Linked DNA regions of Sus scrofa. The protein of the gene in region 1 purifies or fractionates together with the protein of each later gene. This does not show direct contact. Links are inferred from orthologs where the notes say so. Each region holds a gene or a part of one and is shown on either strand. Other genes may lie near its edges.

Region 1 (11,061 bases):
TGGCAAAAAGACAAAAAAAAAAAAAAAAAAAAGTCAGCTTTAGACGTCCATGATGGCCTAGTGGGTTAAGACAATCTGGCACTGGCACTGTCACAGCTCAGGTCACTGCTGTGGCTTGGGTTCGATCCCTAGCCCGGGAACTTCCGCATGCCATAGACATGACCAAAAAAAAAACATAAAAAATATATTTTAAAAGTCAACTCCATTAAAAATCGGGAAAAGCATAAGGACGGTCTAGACTAAAGAAGACTCAAAGGGCATGCAAGTGGCACACAGGACCCCGGCCCCGAGGCTTTGAACACGTGGGCCAGAGGGTAGATCTGAACGCGGGCAGGCAAAGGCCGCCGCAGCCGGCACTCACTTCTCCTCCGAGGCGGCCTGGCGCTCCATGCGCAGGGCGGCCTCCATGCTCTGGCTCTGCAGGCGCAGCTGGTCCACCTGCACGCTGTGCTGCTGCTGCAGGGCCTCCCGCTCGTTCTCCAGCTGCCGGACCTGCTCGCTAGTGGCGCGAACCCTGGTGGCAGGAAGGGGAGGTCACCGGAGGGCCCCAGCAGGAGCAAAAGTGCTCGAGGAACCCTGCAGCACCAAGAAAGACTGCAGCAGAAGGCACTGGGGCCAGGGGTGAAGGAGGGGGTCCCAGGGGAAAGAAGCCCCAGGGACCTGCCCGTGGGGTTCCGAGAGGTGGGTGCTGGGGGCCATGGCCAGAGCAATCTCAGTGGAGGAAAGGAAGTAGAGCCAGTCAGCAAAGACAGCCTTTCTAGAAGGTGGGGCGGGCGCAGGTGAGAAGTGAGGTGAGGCGGGGGTGGGGGGTGGAAAGTGGGGTCAGTGGCTCCACGGCTCCCCCACCCCGCCCGCCACCACCGCTCTAACAGTGGCAAGGAGGTGGCTGGCTGGCCCATCTGGAGTCCCAAACGTCTACATCTGCGAGATCCTCCCACCTGCCTGCCCGGGAGAAGATCCTGGATCCATCCACACTCAAGCTGTGACAGCTCGGCTCTCCTCACCCGGGTCCCCCAAGGGGCCTGACCCTCTGATGGGGGCCCGTCACCCCACGGCCCCGCCTCGCATCTCCACACTCATGTCTGCTCACAGCTCCCTCCATCCCCAGCTCCAGGCTGCAGCCACGTCATCCTGTGTCCCGGGGGCGACAGTGGCTGTTCTGAGTGGGGGGCGGCTCCTGGCCCTCTCCTCTGGTCTCATCTCCACACCTGGCCAGCTATATCCAACTCAGATGTCCATCTGTGACCCGACAAAACTTAGCTGCCGGCATTGTCATCGCCAGACGGAAGTGCTGTCTGCCAGGGGCCCGAGAACAAGGAGGACAGCCGTTCTGATGTGACAGGCCTGGCGCTCAAAGGGCCGCCACATGTACGAAGTCTGGATCTGTTTAAATGGCCACACCGAGCGATGGGAGACGCAAGCAGGCTCCCTGCCCTGAGCTGCCAGCCAGCATTTCCATCTCAGCCACGTGGGGGGACAAGAGAGGAAGATGCCCAGAGCCTGCAACTGCGGGGTCATTAACTGAGCAGAGTCAGCCACAAAACTGCAGACAGCGTCACGCCTCCAGCAGTCTCTTTTATGTGCACAGAAAAAAGGCAAGAAACACGTGGCAGTGTCCTAGAAATGACACACGTGCCTCTTAGAGAAGTGGGGGTAGAGACGAGCCCGGCGGGGAACCGGGAAGGCGACCAGGCCAGCGGGCTCGGCCCTGCCACACACACGCCCTCGCCGCCTGCTTTCTAGAGGGAGGCTCCCCGCTCGCTCTGAGGATGGCGGGGCGTCTAAACGCCGCGCTGGGAAACGCCTCGGGCCTCCGGGCGCAGCGCCCAGCGCACCGGGAGAGCTGCGGCCAGCCCTGCCGCCTGGACCCGTCTCCCTGGACGGCAGCCACCGGGCAGCGTGAGAACCACAGAGACGCCCGTGCCCTTTGACCCGGTGAGCACAGCTACAGGAAGCAGCCTCTGCAGAAGAGAGGGGCCAGCAGGGCTGGTGTGAGTCCCCTACGCTGCCAGGACACTCGCCCTCCAGATGAGGGAGGTCCCCATGCCTAGACCGTGGGCACAACACGGTGGCCTATGGGGAGCACCTGCTTTCCTCCAGGAGTCAGGAGGCTTGGCGTGTGCTGGGCCATGACCAGCCCTCCATCAAACTCAGGGCGCTGAGTCTCCAGTGGCGCCCCAGGCCTCCAGGGAGGCCCAAGTCGCCGCCAGAGAAGGGAGGAAAGGAGGAGGGGGCCAGAGGCAGGGGGTGCTCCGCCCCCGCCCTGGGCCTTCCGTCCTCGGGGGTCCTGGGCCGGGAGGGCACTGTGATCACGTGGACTCGTCCCCCCCACCCCGCAAACGGCCCCTCGGGAATCATCCAAAACTCTGGCAAAAAGTCAGCGGCCTCGGGCAGGGCTCTCCCTCCACGCTCACCTGCTCTCCAGAGCCTGCCGCTCCTTGGTGGCGGCCTCCAAGCGACTCTGGCTCTCCTGCAGCTCCCCCAGCAAGGACGTCACCTGGGCTTTCACTGAGGCCTTGTCCTCTGCCATCTGCTGCACGAGAAGAAGCCACGCCACGTCAGCACTGAGACCGGCCACCCCCGGGGCTCCTCTCCTGCCCCCGGCACCCCGACTCATCTCCCTCTCATCTCTCGAAGCTTCTCCCCCAGCAAGGCCACTGAGGATGGGGCCAGAGGAGCACAGAGCTGCCCATGCGGGCTGAGCCCAGCAGGAGTCTCCCCACCTTGCTGAGACTCAAACATGTGACAGAAACCTGCGCGCTCCCCGGGCCCCAGGCCACTAGCAGGTAAGAGGGAGTGACGCTGTTCCCACAAGTCCTGCACCTGCCCCAAAACTCAAGAGTTCTCCAACTCCCCACCGCCCAGACGCCCTCCCAAGGCTGTGCAAACCCTGGGCCCGAGACCTCAGGCTGCTCAGGCCCAGGGTCAAGCCTCAGGCCCCCACCCCTACACGCAGCGCCACCCACCCCGCCCGCCACTCATCCCCCTCCTTTTCACGCCCATCTGCGTGCACCTGAGGATGATCGGGTCGGTCTCAAGGTTTCCACTGCCCTGGACAGGCCAACGGCTTCCAAACCCTGAACCCCCACTGAGCCAGCCAACGGCCTGCCGATCGCCCTGACGCCCGTCCGCAGGCCCTGCTGGCTAAGGCGCCCACTGCCACCACCCCCGCCCGCCCTGGTCAGAGCCCCGAGGATAACGGCTTCTCTCGACTCTGTGCGGCCGCCCGAGGGTGCTCCTGGGGACCCCCGGGGGAGAGGGCAGGCGGCCGGCGCCCCGCTACCTGCTGGCAGGTCTTCAGGAGCTCCACCTCCTGCAGGGCCTGCTCCCTCTGCCTGCGCAGCTCCAGCTTCTCGAGGCTCAGCCTCTCGACCAGGCGCCTGGCCTCGCAGAACTTCTGCATGAGAAACTCCTTCTCCTCCCGCTGGCTGCCCTGGAAACGCTGCAGCTCCTCACAGCGCTCCCGCAGCATCTGGTTGCTCTGCCGGATGGCATCTGGCGGCAGAGGAGACGCAGAGGGAGGTGAGGGCGCCGGCCTCTCCCAGGCAGCGCACTTTCAAAAGCAGTGGTGCCCATCACGTGCCCATGCTTTTCCAATCAAACATTAAACACATCAGGTGCACTGAGAGCTCTGGGTCCGATGCCACCTTTTTTGTAAGTGACGCTGGAACTCGTCTATGTTCTGCTCGGGTGGGAGGCAGGCCTACCCTAGGGCACCCGGTCACTGCCTCCAGGATCAGGGGGCCGGCCACACAGGGCAAACGTCCCTGTGGCCCTGCTGCCGCAGACTGGGGGCCGGAAGCCTTGGAGCCAGCCGGCCGGTCACCGAAGCCCCACCATCCTCATCGACATGTCCCAACGGGGACGATGACACCCATCTCACGGGACAAGGAAGGTCACACAAACAAGCAGCCAAGAGCCGGCACACAAGACCAACTCGGGGACCAGTCGGTCGTCCTCTCCCCACACACCCAGCGGACACCCCAGGCGGCAGAAGGCCATCGTGAGCGACAAAACTCATCAGCGGCACGCAGAGGTTCTAGCAAGCACAGAGCCAGATGACACGGGGCAGGCAGTGGCTTCATGTCACCCTCTGGTCAAAACACGTGACCAGCTAACTGGTGCCTGCTACTGGAACATTCTTTCACTAGAACTTCAGCAAGTTATTTTCTCTCCCCTCCTTTTCTTGGCTGCACTTGCAGCATGTGGAAGTTCCCAGGCCAGGGGTTGAACCCGTGCCACAGCAGCGACCAGAGCCACAGCAGTGACAACACCAGATCCTTAACCCACCGAGCCACCAGGGAACTCCTACGGCAAATTCTGAGCCCCACTCCAAAGCCACCTTCTGGACTCCACGGTCCCCACATGACTCCTCCTGTGCAGCTGACCAACAAGCCTTGGACAAGGCCTCTTGCCGAAGGCAGATGGTCCCCCCCAACGGCCACCTGCCAAGCCTCCGTCCGAGGTTCACCTCAGCTCCCACAAAACCTCTGTTTTGGGGGTTTTTTTAAAGATCTTTTTTTGGGCCGCACTCACGGCATGTGAAGTCCCTGGGCCAGGAAGCAAACCTGCACCACAGCAGCGACCTGAGCCACTGCAGTGGCAACACTGGATCCTTAACCTGCTGCACCACAAGAAAACCCACAACTTTTGTTTTTAATTGAGGTAAAATTCACGTAACAGCAAATTCACCATTTTAACTATTTTAAAATACACAATCAGGAGTTTCCGTTGTGGCTCAGCGGAAAAGAATCTGACTAGCATCCATGAGGACGCAGGTTTGATCCCTGGCATTGGTCAGTGGGTTAAGGATCCGGCGTTGCCCATGAGCTGTGGTGTAGGTCACAGATGAGGCTCAGATCCCGCATTGCTGTGGCTGTGACGTAGGCTGGCAGCTGCAGCTCCAATTTGACCCCTAGCCTGGGAACCTCCATATGCCCCCAATGAGGCCCTAAAAAAAGACAAAAAAAATACACAGTCATTCAGTGGCTTTAATGTATTCATATAGTTGTGCACCCGCCCCTCCCTCTAGTTCCAGTGCATTCCCATCACCCCCAAAAGAAACCTCCCACCCACAAGAGTGTCACTGAATGAGAGGCTAGGGGTGCCCCCCCCGGATGCCCCAGGCTACTGCACCAAAGGGGCAGCTTGCCAGCAGCGGAGGCCCAGGGCACAAACCCGAGGAGGAGGGGGCGCTGTCCCACACGAGGGGGCCAAGAACGGGTCACACCTGAGGGGCACGGAGCCATGGCCCCTGGGACCCGAGAAGGTGACCCCGATACAGGGGAGGACGCGGAGGCTGGGTGAGTGGGGCTGGGACGGAGGCGGGGGGGTGGGGGGTGCCGAAAAGCCCTCGACCCCCCGCCCCCGGCAAGTGCTGCTGGAGCACAGCCCTCCGTCAGGTCCCCGGCGCCGCCTGGCCCCTCCTTCCCAAAGCCGCCCCCCGGCCCTTCCCAGGGAGGCCACGCCCGTTCCCAGCGCAGACCACACCCCCTTCCTGGAGCAGATCCCGCCCCCTTCCCAGGAGACCCGCGCCCCTCCCAGTAAGGCTGGTTCTGACTGACTGGTCAGTACATGAGTACGGAGACACCAGGGCCTGGCGGCGTCGGCCCAACCGGGACAACGCAGAAGGGCCATATTCCAGCTCAAGCCCCTTGCAGGGTGGGCCTCTCCCTGCACCCACCCCTGCTTCTTCGCTGCCCTGCCCTCCCCTCCCCATCTGCAGGGCTGGTCCCAGAGGACTCTGAATAAACCTCCTGCGTGCCTCCCTGGATCTCGGCGTCCACTTCCCGGAAACCCCACCTGGACCAGGGCGGGGGCGGCGGCTGGGACCAAATCACTAACCCGCCCGGGTGCACGCCGCCCCAGTCCCAGGAAGGCAGAGGTGCGGCAGGTGGGAGGCGCCGGCCCGGGATCTCGGGGCACAGGCCCGCTGCCGCCCTCACCTCGGAGCTCTTGATTCTCCTCCAGGCAGCGCTGGAAGGTCTCAGGAGCACCCTGCTCCGAAGGCAGGTGGAGCATGGTTGGCTTCCCCAGAGAGGACTCTTCACCCAGCACGTCCTGGTCCCCTGCCGGGCCGCCGCTAGGCTGCACCATCTCACACGGCTGACTCTTCCAGGGGGTCCTGCTCATCCAACAAGTCAGCGTCTGAAAGAGATGCCAGCAGAGGCATCGCGTGAGGAGACCCAGGCAGAACTCTCCTACCCTGCAGGACAGGGAGTGCCAGGGCCACGCTCGGCAGAAGGACAAGCACTTTGCCAAGTGGAAAAGGCGCTAAAAAGGGCTCTTTGGTCTACGAGTGGCTCACATTCCCCTCATGTGGGGCTCGCAAAGGTCACGGTTCAGCACCGGCCGTAAACGGCGCCTCAGGCTAGCTCCCGGCTGGACGCTGAAGCTGCCGATTTCACCACAGAGGAGAATCGACGGAGATGAGGTTGGGAGGCAGGGGTCGCTGTGCTGGAATGCCCACCCTCCCCACACCTCCAAGCAGTAAGATGGGTCCACTCCCTGGGCCCCGGAACCGGGACTGATTGGGAAAGGGGATTTGTTGGAGTTCCCATTGTGGCTCAGCTGGTTAAGAACCCAACTAGTATCCATAAGGATGCAGGTTCGATCCCTGGCCTCACACAGCGGGTTAAGGATCAGTATTGCCGTGAGCTGTGGTATAGGTCACAGACGCAGCTCAGATCCCGTGTCACTGTGGCTCTCACTCATGTGGGCTGGCAGCTGCAGCTCCAATGAGACCCCTAGCCTGGGAACTTCCATATACCTCAAGTGTAGCCCTAAAAAGCAAAAAAAAAAAAAAAAAAAAAAAAAAAAAAAGGGAAAGGGAAAAGGAAAGAAGGAAAAGGATGTAATACAAGTGAAGGATCTGAAATGAGGTCCTCCTGGATCAGGGGAGCCCTAAATCCAATGATGAGTGTCCTTCTAAGAGACACAAAAGGAGAGACAGACACAGAAGAAGCCACGTGAAGATGCAGAGACTGGAGTGATGCGGCCCCAGCCCAGAGATGCCTGGAGCCACCACAGGCTGGAAGAGGCAGGAAGGACCCTCCCCTGGCGCCCCCAGAGGGAACAGGGCCCTGCCACGCCCTGACTTCAGGCTCCTGGTTTCCAGAACGGAGAGAGGACAAATGCTGTTGTCTTAAGCCATCTGCCTTGGACTCTCTCACGGCAGCCTAGGAAATCAATGTACCTAGTGAGAAGGGCTTCACAGAGACCACTCAGAACCTGGTGGGCATTCCCTGGAGCTGAGCACCCGAAAGCGGGAGCTGGGCTTGCAGCCTAAGGTGGCAGGGCCGAGAGTCAGGCTGAGCTGTGTGCATCGTCCTGTGAACTAGAGGCGGGGGCAGGGGGGCGCTCTGCGGGACAGCACCCGCCCGGAGCCCTTTTAAATCCTGCCCAAGAAAACCGACTACATGGAGGAGGAAGCCGATCCCAAAAGAAGCTTCCAGGAGAGAGCCTGAGCTGCAGCTAGAGACGTTTAACACCAAACAAGCTGGGACGTTTCGCTGTTACACTGATACTTCTCTGAATAACCCCCTGACCCACCAGCACTATCTGACCAACCGCTGAGCCCTGAGTCCAGAACAGCCACCACTTCACTGGCTGCTCCTGCTCTGGCTCTTTCCGTGGACCATCCTCGCCACACTTTTCATGCTGTGATGCTCCGGGGCTCCTTTCTGGGATCTCATCTTTTCTCTAACTACAGCTACTCCAGCGCTAATTCCATCCAGACTCCCAGCTTTAACCCCCATGCATCAAACTCAGCATCTCAGGCTGGACATCTAATCCTCCTCTCAAAACTCACCTCTCCAGAACTGCACTGCTCACAGTCCCCAGAAGCCGGCTCCACCCACAGCCTCCCTTATTATTAGGTGACAGCACGTCCACCCTCCGGTCAGCAGGACACAACCTGGGAGTCCTTCTTGAGTCCTCTCTGGCCCTCAGGGCTCACGTCTAATCCATTGGGAAATCCCGTCAAAAGGTATCTTAGAATCTATTTGAGGACACTAAGCAATTAATGTTAACTTATTTTAGGTGTGATACTTGGTACTGTGGTTGTTTCTTTCAAAGTCCATTCTTAGAGATGCATCCTGAAACATTTACAGCGAAATTATAAGGTGCCTGGAATTTGGTTCAAGGTAATGGGGGACCTGCTCGGTATGTACCTGAGAAAAATGAAAACACAGGTCCACGTGAGACTGCTCTTAGCGGCCAAAGGGTGGAAATGACCTACATGTCCATCGACTGATGAATAAACACAATCTAGTACATTCCTACCCTACCATGTTAATAATATTGAGCAGGAGTGGCGCAGTGGTTAACGAATCCGACTAGGAACCATGAGGTTGCGGGTTCGATCCCTGCCCTTGCTCAGTGGGTTAACGATCCGGCGTTGCCCTGAGCTGTGGTGTAGGTTGCAGACACGGCTCAGATCCCACATTGCTGTGGCTCTGGTGTAGGCCGGCGGCTACAGCTCTGATTGGACCCCTAGCCTGGGAACCTCCATATGCCCGGGAGCGGTCCAAGAAATGGCAAAAAGACAAAAAAAAAAAAAAAAAAAAAAAAAAAAAAAAAAACACTGAGCAACACAGAGAAACAGCTCACAAGAAACCACATATTATGAGTCCATTTATGTGAACTATCCAGAATAGGCAAACATAGAGAGATGGAAAGACTAATAGATGCTTAGAACTGAAGTAGATAAGGTGATGGGTTGATGAAAATGTTCGAGAATGAATGGTGATGGTTGTGCAGGTGTGTGAATATACTGAAAAGCAGTGAATTGTTCACTTTCAATGGGTGAATTGTGTGGTATGTGAATTATATGTCAATAAAGCTATTTTTGAAAATAAGAGATTATGAGGGGTATAAATTAAGCAAAGGTAGCAACAGGTTGATAACTGTTGACGCTGGGAGGTGGGTACCTTGGGTTTATACTATCCTTTCTACTTTTGCACATCTTTGGTATTTTTCACAATAAAACGATCCGAGCCCCATCATCTCTCACCTGGATAACTGCAATAACCTCCTAGCAGATCACCTTGCTCCAACCCTTGCCCCCTACGTACAGTCTGTTCTACCCACCGCGCCAGAACAATCAGACCAAAAGGTAATTCCTACCACGTCTCTCCTCTATCCAGATCCCTACCATAGTTCCTCATGGCCCTCCGCCAAAAAGCCACAACCCGTACAACAAGATAGTAGGCCGTGCACTATCTGGTCCCCCATTGCTTCCTCTCTAACTATTCCCCCCTCGCTCACTCTATTCCAGGTATAGTGGCCTCCTTATGGCCCATTCATCCTCAAGTCACAGAACTGATATGAGGTCCGGCAGACATTAACCGTTGTGCAAAGTGAGCAAAATGAAGCGCATGAGGAAAGATGCTTAGCTGTCAAATTACCCTTGAGGCTTTTTTAAAGAACTTAACAACTTCAAATGTAGTCAAGTTCGATGAACAGAAAATGTCTCCGAAGTAGAATAGTCATCCACGAACTAGGGGTGTGGTCAGACTCCGCCGCGGCAGAGGAAGGAGAGGCGAAAACTGCCCCGCTCGTCGCCAGAGTAACCTGGGTCCTGAATTGGCCAGCCTCGGCGGGTGATCTAGAAGCGGGCGGCAGAACCGGGCCGGGGCCCAATAGGAGGGGAAAGCCTGGTCGTCCAGGGGGGGTCTCGGAGGTGGCGGAACGCCCACCAATAGTACCCTATCTTCGGAGAAGAGGACCACACCTGTCAGCAGAGTCGGTCCGACGTGAGAAGGGCGGGAGCGGCGGGTCCCGAGCGCTCCTCGGACCCCGGCGCTCGGAGAAAGTTCGGGTTCCGCGGTCGCCCTTCCCTTCTCGGGCTGCCAAATTCCCATTTCCTGCTTCCGGTGTCGTAGCTGTGGGATCCGGAAGTAAAACACTCACACTCCGCCCCCACCCCGCCCCCAGCAGGCCCGCGAGAGGCGCGAGGGAGACTTGTCCCCAGACGGAAGCCCGAGCGTACCAGGCTCGGCTGGCCCGTAGGACACTCTTCAATAATATGCGTCGCGACCCGCATTTCCCCTTGTCTCTCCGGCGGCGGCATCCAGCGAGCGGCAGGTCGGCTGCCCCGCCCCCACTAGGGGAGGAGCCACGACGAGGCTATCATGTGATAGGGCCAGTTTGATCGGAGTCGACGACCCGTCCAGTGAGGGGGCGAGGCTAAAGAGGGCCCCGCCTACAAGTGGGGTCGAGGGGCGTGACCACGCTGCCGGCGGAAGTGGAGCCCTTCTTGAGGGCGCAGGACAACCCCGGGCTGACGAGAAAGCCAGACTGTAGGGGCGGGGCCAGGCCAGGGATGGGAACGCGGGCGAGCTGTGGGGAGCTGCACACGGACTCGCGAAGCATCGGGGACACGGCGCAGCGGCGGCGAGGACAGCAGGGGGCCCGCAGCCCGGCGGCCGGCGCAGGTGCTCAAGGGGCGGAGCGGGTCAGGCCGGCAGGCCTCGCGCGGGAGCGGGGGGGGGGGGGTCCCACCGGCCCGAGATGCGCGCGCACCTGCCTCGCCCCGCCTCTCGGGGGAGGGGCACACGGAGGCCCCGCCCGCGCGCCTCGCCTGAGGCTGGTCAGCTCAGACCAGGTGCCCGCCCCCGCCAGTTAAATGGGCAGGCGGGGCGCAGCCCCAGGAAACTGCCGGGAACTCCGGGGCTGCGAGCGCGAAGGGCAGCAGCGGTGAAGCACAGGTAACTGAGTGGGCGAACGCTTTGATTTGCCACGCTTGGGAAGGGGGCAAAATCGAGAGGGTGTTAACTGATCTAACCGTCCCCTGCATACCCCCATTGGGCCCCTGAGGGGACCCCGAGAGGGGCGGGGATTGGCCGGGGTCTCCCAGCGGTGGTGGAGGAGGACTAGATCTACACTGTCAGCTGCTTGATCTAACTTGCTCCAGCTCATTGAGGAGCTTCCGCCTGAATCCTTGGTGAGATGGCCTTAGCAGGTGGTCCGATGTTCCAGCTTGGTGTTACTCCCCCAGAGCTGAGGCCCTCGTTGGAGTCCACTAATGCTTAGAGTAATGTTGTAATGTACACGCTGAAA
Region 2 (10,511 bases), on another chromosome or scaffold:
GTACTGCTATGGCTTTGGTGTAAGGCCAGTGGCTGCAGCTCTGATTCAACCCCTGGCCTGGGAATTGCCATATGCCACAAGTGAGGCCATAAAAAAAAAAAAAAACAACAAAAAACAAACAAAAAAAAGGAAGGCAAAAGAAAACTGAGAGATCTTTAAACATTTTTAAGTATTTTAAGGCTTGGATAAAGGGAATCTAATAAAGAAAAAAAAGTATAGGTTGAAACAAATGAAACTGCCAATATTTAAGCAATTTTGACCCTACAAAAGGCTATTGCAAATGGTGTAACCTACTAAAGAGGAACTGACTTTAATTAAAAATCGAAATAGTTAATGGTTAATTACCTTAATTTCCATAGTAGGGACAACAACATCTTCTAAATTTTTAAGTTTAGTAATAGGCTGGTCTGCTGGAATCCTTATGCCTTCTGTATTTAAAATAAAGAGGTTTCAGTGACAACTGCAAACTGAGGAACAACACTGAAGGTAAAGCAGAACTCAGCAGATACCCTAAACCCCAACCTATGGCTAATCTGTGTTTCAGGCCCTGATTTAGAAATGAAGACCTAGGGCTCAGGACACAATGTCACTCAGGGTCAGAGGATAGCAGTGGTTAACACGGCTTACAAATGAATTTGCAGGTCCTGGCACTGCTAGTTAGACCAGATTCCACCTGAGGGGCTAAGTTAAGCAACGTAAGATAATTATGTAACAGTGTGAATAGCACATAGATTATGTACTCCTGTCATATTACTATTAAATTTCACTAAAGGACATGACAATATTCTTTGTTTGCTAAGAGGAACACAATGAGAAGTCTCATTCTTACTTTAAAATAATAAGAATTTAAATGTGAAGATAGAGGGGTGTCCGTTGTGGTTCAGTGGTAACAAACCCGCATAGTATCCATGAGGATATGGATTTGATCCCTGGAGTCACTCAATGGATTAACGATCTGGTGTTGCCATGAGATGTGGTTGTAGGTCACAGACACAGCATGGATCTTGCGTTGGTGTGACACAGGCCAGCAGCTGCAGCTCTGATTCAACTCCTAGCCCGGGAACTTCCATATGCCACAGGAGTGGCCCTAAAAAGAGAAAAAAAAAAAAAAGAATTTAAATGTGAAGATGATTCCAAACAGAAAAAATATTATAATTACTAAAATATGGGGAGAGGAAGTCCCCGTCGTGGCGCAGGGGAAACAAATCTGACTAGGAACCATGAGGTTTGCAGGTTCGATCCCTGGCCTCACTCAGTGGGTTAAGGATCTGGTGTCGCCATGAGCTGTGGTATAGGAGTTGCTATGGTTGTGGTGTAGGCCAGCAGCTACGGCTCTGATTTAACCCCTAGCCTGGGAACCTCCATATGCTGTGGGTGTAGCCCTAAAAAGCAAAAAATAAAAATAAAATAAATAAAATTTAAAAATAAAATATGGGGAGAGAAATATACAGCCAAATACTACAGCTGCTTATAATTATTTAAAGAGACCAGGAAGCAGAGTGATGGAGAAAAAGGTAAGGCCTTTCCATTTTTAAGCCCTAGCATGCAGTCACCTGTTACCAGTTCTAATAAAAGATATTAAGTGAAAAACTGACTGGAGGGCGTTGAAGCTATTAGATTAAAAAAAAGGTTTTTCTGTGAGTTGGATCATCTGTGAGTTGTAATCATCAATTCTGTCATATCTATAATTAGTGTGTGTGAGGTGAACAGATTTACATCATTAGGCTCTGTAATTAATATATCCCTACAGAGAATAACACCGCAAGAAAGCAATGCTCCTTCTTTCAAATCGCATACTTCTCTGAGTCCTCCACTGAGTGGCATCTAAGTTTGCTAATATAATGTAAGCATCACAGAGTGCTTCAACACTTCTGACCATCTGACGTCTCCTGTTTCTGAGAGTACATATTACTTTGTTTGCAGCCTCAGTTCGATCCTATTAATAAAAACAAACAAAATATAGTACATAAGCAAATATAACTCAAACGTTTCAGAGTTATAATAAAAAAAGGAAAAACAATTTATACACATATCTAGACAATGGAAAGATTATAATCCCTCAGATACAAACAAAACAGTCACCTTATTATGAATGCAGCACATCAAAGTTATAATAACCTCAAGAGTAAATGCCTTGGATGCCTTGTACAATCAGTATTTTCTTAGCTCACTGATGTGAGGAAAAAGGGCAAAATACTATTGATATCTCCTATGCTTTGAGAAATACTCAAGATTTTTAAACCAATTTTAGGTGCCATTTTAATAACAAAGGATTTGCAAACTCAATGTTTGTCAACAACATACTTTTAGAATCCCTGAGACTTAAGAAAGGAATATTTTGGGAAAAAATAAATATCACAATTCAAAAAGGTATACATGTTCAATCTAAATACCTCATCAAGCTGAGAGCTTTCTTTAGGTGTATTTTTAGTTATTCTACTACTTCTTGCTGCCTCTGGTTTGGTCAAAAATTCATCTTTGTTTGCATTTGCTAAGGCCAATATTATAAACAAAGTATGATGAGGGTGATCCACTGAAATTCTAGAGATGAGCTGTAATAAAATTAAGAACTGTTAGTTATATGGAAACAAACAAACAAAAAAAGAAAATCCATAAACTTTCAAATTTGGCTGAACATTAAGATAGGTGTTACTGTCCTAGATGCTGCAGTGAGTGGTATGTGTGTGTGTAAGACAGACAAGAGACAAAGGGACATGAAGAATTAGAAAGGGAGAAACTAACTAATGTGGAGTATGAGGAGACACAAGGAAATCTTTATTCTCGCCCTTATTTAACATAATAAATAGGCTGATCGAAACCGTCCTGGATGCCACGTCCTAAAGTGGAGCAGTAGCATATAATAACAAAAAAGGACAGCAATTGCGCCGAGAAGGTCACATTTACTTACACTATTGAGGACGTCGTGAAATCCTAGGCCTCCCATCATCTTGGTCCCCATTCTAGCAGCCAACTGGTACATGAGGGGCAAAAACTTATATGATGGGATCTTCATTCCATCTCTCTGCCATTAAAAAAAAAAAATACAAAATTAAAAAGCAATGCATTTCAAATAGTATCACATCTAAGTAAATAAATTACTCTAAGATAAAGCTCCTCTACTGGTGCAGTCATCTAGAGGGTGTTAGTAAAACTTCACTAACCACACCTTTTTCCTCATCATTTACTTTAAAGTCTTTCTGGTGGTTATTCTAGATTGATTCATTACTAAGTCATAATATTTGAATCTAAATTAAAGTGTATTCAGAACTGCAATACTTGGCACTGCTTATATTCCAGTGAATCCAAGGGGGACAAATGAGGATCTGAGGATGATTGTGATCTGAACTCCTGAGAGGTCAGCATGAGTAAGACGGAATAACTATTTTTTCCTACATGCTAAAAGTAATAAGATCTAATGTACACTAGATTGGTTGTATCTATGATGAATCTTATCATTTTTCTCAGCCAGAAGACCATTTTACTTTTGAAGTTTCAAACTGATTGCCTATATATATCTTGTCAACATATCTTTAATATTAGGTGTCATCAATAAAATCTAAGATTTTTAAATAAAAATTTACAAAATGCTGCTACTTTAATGCTTTCTTAAAATCTTTTTTAAGTAATTTACTGTAAAAACAAACAAACAAAACAGAAAAGAATAATCACATCATTTTCAATTGCTTTTCCAATCTCCCATTTGGGGTACTTTCCTATGATAATTGCAAAGACAGAGGAAAAGAAAGTTCCCAGGCTAGGGGTCCAATCGGAGCTGCAGCTGCTGGCCTACACCACAGCCACAGCAACGCAAGATCCAAGCCACATCTGCGATCTACACCTCACCTTGTGGCATGCCAGATCCTTAATCCACTGAGCAAGCCCAGGGATTAAACCCACATCTTCATGGATACTAATTGGGTTCATAACTACAGAGCCACAACAGGAACTCCCCATAAATCCTTATCATTAAGAGCTGATCAAACACCTTGTGTAGAGCTCTGAACCATGTGTCAAGGATACAAATTATACAAAATACATGACATTGAGGGGCTTATGTCTAAACTTTTAAAGCACAGAGTAGAATATTGGGTTGAAAAAGAAAACTTGCCTTCATCATGCCATTGACTTCAGAAACTCCAGAATTTTCAAGCCAGAGGGAACAAAGACGGAATATCCACATATCATGCCCTTCTCCACTTAATAAGCAATTGATGTAATTTTCAACTGCTTTACATAAGAAACGTTTACGATCCTTTTTTAATGCACGGAGAGCACCTTCATCCAGCTCCAGCTCTCGCTGAACCTTTATTGTGTATCTTACATTGGATGATTAAAGTAAAACACAAGAGTCATCAGATTTTATATGAAATATAAAACAAAAATGAAAAATCAAGTGTCCATGCCAGGAGAAAAAGCAAAATTCTAAGAATTATAGAGGTAAAAATCTTAAACTTTTGTCTTTAAGTCTGTACACTTCAAAAGTATCCTAAGCAACCAAGGACAAAGCAGACTCTACCCACGGTACTTCATTAGCTTTATTCTCTACCTGCACTAAAATATATAGACCAAAGGCAGGTGTAAATAAAGGATTAAATTACATCAAAATAGGTACTTCTTCCCCATTTAATTTCACCCTACCTCTTTTTCAACTATGTAGATAGAAAAAAACTAAAAGAGAAAAACAAAAAGCTAATTATCAATATACTACAATCAGCTTAGAACCACAGCATGAATTCCTATCTGGTTCTGTATCTCTGCGTGTATACAGAGTTGCTGTATTTCTGTGTATCTTGTCACTTGCAGATCCCTTATTACCTGTTGGTTTGAATTTTATGTTCCCTAAGAAGGCCCACTTCCTCTTTGGCTCTTTTCAGAAGAGCCTGCTTGTTTTCAAATTCTGATGATTTCATGTAGTTTTCAATTCTTTGGTACTGAGTATCTGAGAACCGTGCTAAAGAGAGAAATGCCTTCATTTTTCCATTTCTGAGCTCATCATTGCTTTCTCCGTCATAATTTCCAGCAAGTTCCACTGCCTTCACAAAAACACAAGCAATTTATATTACATTTACAGATATTAAATGCATCTAAAGAATTACTCAGATTAAAGAAATATCCATACTAAAGTTTAGCATATATATATATATATATAAAACCTAAATTATATGAATTTAGCTTTTTTCCCCCTTCTTTTTATGGCCACACCTCTGGCATATGGAAGGTCTCAGGCTAGGGGTCAAAACAGAGCTGCAGCTGCTGGCCTATGCCACAGCCACACCAGATCTTAGCTGCATCTGTGACCTACCCCATGGCTTGCAGCAACAATGGATCCCTAATCCACTGAGCAAGGCCAGGGATCAAACCTGCCTCCTCATATAGACAACACTGGACTCTTAACCAGCTGAGCACATTGGGAATTCTTTTCTTGACTTTTCAAAAAGAACCTTGACAGTGCAAAAATAACCACAACAGCTAATATTTGTAAAGAACTATGCAAAAACAAAAAGTTCTACAAAGTTTGTTTTAAAAATGTTATGCTTTTATTTATTGACTTATTGGTCTTTTTTTTAAGGTTCCACATATGGCATATGGGGGTTCCCAGGTTAGGCATCAAATTGGAGCTGTAGTTGCTGGCCTACGCCACAGACACAGCAACGCCAGATTCAAGCCTCATCTGCAACCTATACCACAGTTCACAGCAACTCGGGATCCTTAACCCACTGAGCGAGGCCAGGGATCATCCTCTTGGATACCAGTCAGATTCGTTTCCACTGCGCCAAGATGGGAACTCCACACATTATGCTTTTAATGTTCATTTATTTGGTGAATTAGCTCTTTTTAAAATTTGTTAAACTAGCTATTGTTAAAACTTGTTAAAGACAGAGAAACAGGAAGGTCAAAAGTAGGGAGAAGACTGGAGTCCATCCTACTTGGAGGGTTGGGCTAAAAGTGAATAATAAAGGCTGACTTGAATACTCCTTAGTCAGCTATTTTTCCAGATAAATACGTGGAGAAATTATCAAATATAACTTGTTAGGAGTTCCTGTCGTGGCGCAGTGGTTGATGAATCCGACTAGGAACCATGAAGTTGCAGGTTCGGTCCCTGCCCTTGCTCAGTGGGTTAACGATCCAGCGTTGCCGTGAGCTGTGGTGTAGGTTGCAGACGTGGCTCGGATCCTGCGTTGCTGCGGCTGTGGTGGAGGCCGGTGGCTACAGCTCCGATTCGACCCCTAGCCTGGGAACCTCCATATGCCGCGGGAGCGGCCCAAGAAATAGCAAAAAGACTGGGAGAGAGGACAAGATGGCGGAGGAGTAGGAAGACACGCTCGCCCTCTCCCACAAACACAACAAAAAAAGCACATCTACAGAATAAATGACTCGCACAGAACAGCAAACAATCGCTGGCAGAGGAACCTAAACTCCAATAACGGCAAGAAACTCGTGACATTATTGGGCAGAACAGGAGAAAAGAGGAGAGTGAGAGAAGGCGAATCCGAGCGAGGGAAGGCTCCCGAAAGGGAACTGCGGAGGAGAAAGGGATCCCGCACCCTGGAAAGTCACCTACCGGGCGAAAGATCAAACGAACCGGAGGAATCTCCAGATGCAGAGAAGAGTGTAGCAGTAAGTTGGAGTACGGAAAAGCCGATCAAGAACCCAACGGACCATCTGAACTACGGGCAGAGTCACCAAAAATTGAGACGCCTGGGTGGGGGCTGGGCACTGAGACCTCGCCTCTGAAGGTTAGTCCCCGAGAGGGGGCCGGGGGACGCCTGGGTGGGGGCTGGGCACCGAGACCTCGCCGCCAAAGGTTAATCCCTGAGAAAGGGCCGGGGGACGCCTGGGAGGGGGGCTGGGCACCGAGACCTCGCCCCCGAAGGTTAGTCCCCGAGAGGGAGCCGGGGGACGCCTGGGTGGGGGCTGGGCACCGAGACCTCGGCTCCAGAGATTAGTCCCCGGGATAGGGGGGCGGGGCAGAGCGGAAAATGCTTGGGAGGTCTAGAAACCAGTTGACGGGGCAGAGACTGCCTGGGAGACTAGAAAACAAAGCTGTCGCAGAGGAAGGGAGCAATACTCCAGGAGTGGGGAAGGGGAAAGCCACATCAGAGGGAACCTGGGAGAAGAGCCTGGTCTGCGCCCGTGCTGGGGAGGGGAGGGAAGAAGGGGTGGGTCCCCATAGAATACCCCCCACGCCACAGCAAGCTTACAGGCCAGCTAGCTAGCTGAAAACTCTGCTTCCCAGTGCATCCCCTCCCCCCACCCCCGCCACGCCCTACGCTCTCACGGACCTGGGACTGCCTGCCATCCAGGAGGGCTGGCCTCAACAATTGCCTGAAGCCTACCACCGCAGGGGCTGTCCCTGCACAGGCCTGCTTGCCCTTTGGAGGGGCTACACTTCCGCAGAGCAGCACCAAACAGCACCAGCCCCCGAGAAAAGGCCTGCAGCCTAGAAAAGCTAGAACAAGCTTAGCCAGGCTGTGAATAGATCGGCCTAATTCTCGGACGGTTTTTCTGAGTCGGGTTGCCCCGGGGAGGAGCCTCTTCGGTTTCCAAAGGCCCTGCTACCCGCCCAAGCCCCCAGGGGATGCTCTAGTGGACCAGCTGCATAGGGCTGCCAGCTCCAGGCAGGACCCCCTGCAGCCCAGAAAAGCTGCAACAAGCTCAGCCAGACTGTAAAAAGATCCGCCTACATTCTCAGGCTGTCCTTCTGAGTTGGGCTGCCCTAGGGAAGAGCCTCTCAGGTTCTCAGTGCCCCAGATAGCTGCTCCAGCCCCCAGGGGGTAATGCACCCCTAAAAAGCAGCTGCCCAACACCGCCAACCCCCTGCAAGAACCCCACAGCCTAAAAACACCAGAGCAAGCTCTGCATGGCCAAGTGAAATCTGCTACCATCGCGGTGTGGACCTCTCAGTCCTGTCTGCCCTCAGGAAGTCCTCCTTTGCTTCAAAGAAACACTGTTAGCCCCATCAACACTCCAGAAAAGCCACACTGCCTCAAAAAAGATTGACCAACAACGCCAGCCCTCAGGAAATATTCCACGGCAGTGACAAGGCAAACACTGCCCGATCACGGAGAGTACAACTCCCTCAGGAGAAAGAAAACAACAAGCAAGATGAAGAAGCTGAGAAACCACTCCCAGTCAAACCAACAGGAGAACTCACCTAAAACAGTCAACAATGAAACAGATCTCGGCAGTCTGACAGACCTGGAGTTCAAAAGAGAAATACTGAAAATACTGAAGGAATTAAGAGAAGATATGAACGGTAATGCAGATACCCTCAGAAAGGAACTAGAAAAGATAAGGAGGAGCCAAGAAAAACTAGAACATTCATTTGCAGAGATGCAAACTGAACTAGGGGCAGTAAAAACCAGAATGAATAATGCAGAAGAACGAATCAGTGATATGGAAGATAGAATAATGGAAATCACTCAATCTGGTCAACAGACAGAAAACCGAATCAAAAAACTGGAAAGCAATATAAGAGACCTATGGGATAATATAAAGCGGGCCAATCTACGCATAATAGGAATTCCAGAAGGAGTAGAAAAAGATAAGGGAATGGAAAATATATTTGAAGAAATTATTGCTGGAAACTTCCCAAATCTAAAGGATACTGGATTCAAGATACAAGAAGCACAGAGGGCCCCAAACAAACTGAACCCAAACAGACCCACACCAAGACACATCATAATAAAAATGGCAAAAGTTAGTGATAAAGAGAGGATCCTCAAGGCAGCAAGAGAAAAACAGAATGTTACCTACAAGGGAACCCCCATAAGAATATCAGCTGATTTCTCTACAGAAACACTACAGGCCAGGAGGGAATGGCAAGAGATATTTAAAGTGCTCAAAGGAAAAAATATGCAACCTAGAATACTCTATCCAGCAAGAATATCATTTAAAATAGAAGGGGAAATAAAAATTTTTCCCAACAAACAAAAACTTAAAGAATACAGCAACACAAAACCCAGGTTAAAGGAAATATTGAAAGGGCTTCTCTAAACCAAAAAGAAAGGAAGGAAAGGGAAGAAAAAGAAAAGAAAAAAAAAAAAAAGAAGAAGAAGAAGAGGAAGAACTAGGACTGAGGAAACTGCAATCAGAGAGCAGTCACTCAAATAAGCCAGCATACAGATTTAATCATGAACATGCTTCAAACAAAATAAAATTAAAAAGAAAAAAATAAAAAAGAGTCATCAAAACCATAAAATGTGGGCAAGGGATGTCAGGAGGTAAATAACCCTTTTTGTTTATATGTATGTCTCTCTTCTTAATTTTAATATAGTAATGAAGTGTTTGAACTTACAGGACCATCAGGCTAAAACACACATTTATGGGAAGGGGTTAGCATACTTAAAAAACAGGGCAATCACAAGCCAAAACCAAATATTGCATTTGCAAAAAATGAAAAAAAAAACCACTCAAGCAGATAATAACAGGAGACCATCCAACCAAAAAAAAAAAAAAAAAATGGAGAACCATAGAATCAACTGGAACACGAGGTTCAAATGGCAATAAATAATCATCTATCAATTATCACCTTAAATGTCAATGGACTGAATGCCCCAATCAAAAGACACAGAGTGGCTGAGTGGATAAAAAGGCAAAAACCTTCAATATGCTGCCTACAAGAAACTCACCTTAGGACAAAAGATACATATAGATTGAAAGTGAAAGGGTGGGGAAAAATATTTCACGCCAATAGACATGACAGAAAAGCAGGAGTCGCAACGCTCATATCAGACAAAATAGACTTTAAAACAAAAGGCATAAAGAAAGACAAAGAAGGACACTATTTAATGATTAAGGGATCCATCCAAGGAGAGGATGTTACTATTGTCAACATATATGCCCCAAATACAGGAGCACCCAGATACACACAACAAATATTAACAGACATAAAGGGAGATATTGATGAGAATACAATCACAGTAGGAGACCTAAATACCCCCCTCACATCAATGGACAGATCCTCTAGACAGAAAACCAATAAAGCAACAGAGATCCTAAAGGAAACAATAGAAAAGTTAGACCTAATTGATATCTTCAGGACACTACATCCAAAAAAAGCAGAATACACATTCTTCTCAAATGCTCATGGAACATTCTCAAGAATCGACCACATATTGGGACACAAAGCGAATCTCAATAAATTTAGGAGCGTAGAAATTATCTCAAGTGTCTTCTCTGACCACAATGCCATGAAATTAGAAATCAACCATGGGAAAAGCAAAGAGAAAAAACCTACTCCATGGAGACTAAACAACATGCTATTAAAAAACCAATGGGTCAATGAGAAAATCAAGAAGGAAATTAAAAACTACCTTGAAACAAATGATAATGAAGACACAACCTCTCAAAATCTATGGGATGCTGCGAAAGCAGTGCTCAGAGGGAAATTTATAGCAATCCAGGCCTTTCTCAAAAAAGAAGAAAGATCCCAAATTGACAACTTAACCCTCCACCTAAACGAATTAGAAAAAGAAGAACAAAAAAGTCCTAAAGTCAGCAGAAGGAAG

Evidence for each region.
Region 2: the proteins of IKBKG (region 1) and ATM purify together in Homo sapiens (affinity purification with western blotting; 7 studies listed by BioGRID and IntAct, with this or other methods). This does not show direct contact. The link is inferred for Sus scrofa from reciprocal best matches to the Homo sapiens genes IKBKG and ATM.

What each region holds. Positions count from the first base shown.
Region 1 is NC_010461.5:125,039,951-125,051,011, reverse strand, and holds the start of IKBKG (NF-kappa-B essential modulator), read right to left. Parts: upstream 6,133-11,061; coding exon 5,946-6,132; intron 3,496-5,945; coding exon 3,284-3,495; intron 2,534-3,283; coding exon 2,415-2,533; intron 515-2,414; coding exon 362-514; intron 1-361. Other genes in the region: G6PD (glucose-6-phosphate 1-dehydrogenase), read left to right, coding at 10,325-10,436. UniProt on the Homo sapiens protein: Regulatory subunit of the IKK core complex which phosphorylates inhibitors of NF-kappa-B thus leading to the dissociation of the inhibitor/NF-kappa-B complex and ultimately the degradation of the inhibitor.
Region 2 is NC_010451.4:36,719,171-36,729,681, reverse strand, and holds part of ATM (serine-protein kinase ATM), read right to left. Parts: intron 5,034-10,511; coding exon 4,816-5,033; intron 4,317-4,815; coding exon 4,109-4,316; intron 3,023-4,108; coding exon 2,909-3,022; intron 2,553-2,908; coding exon 2,394-2,552; intron 1,937-2,393; coding exon 1,798-1,936; intron 429-1,797; coding exon 346-428; intron 1-345.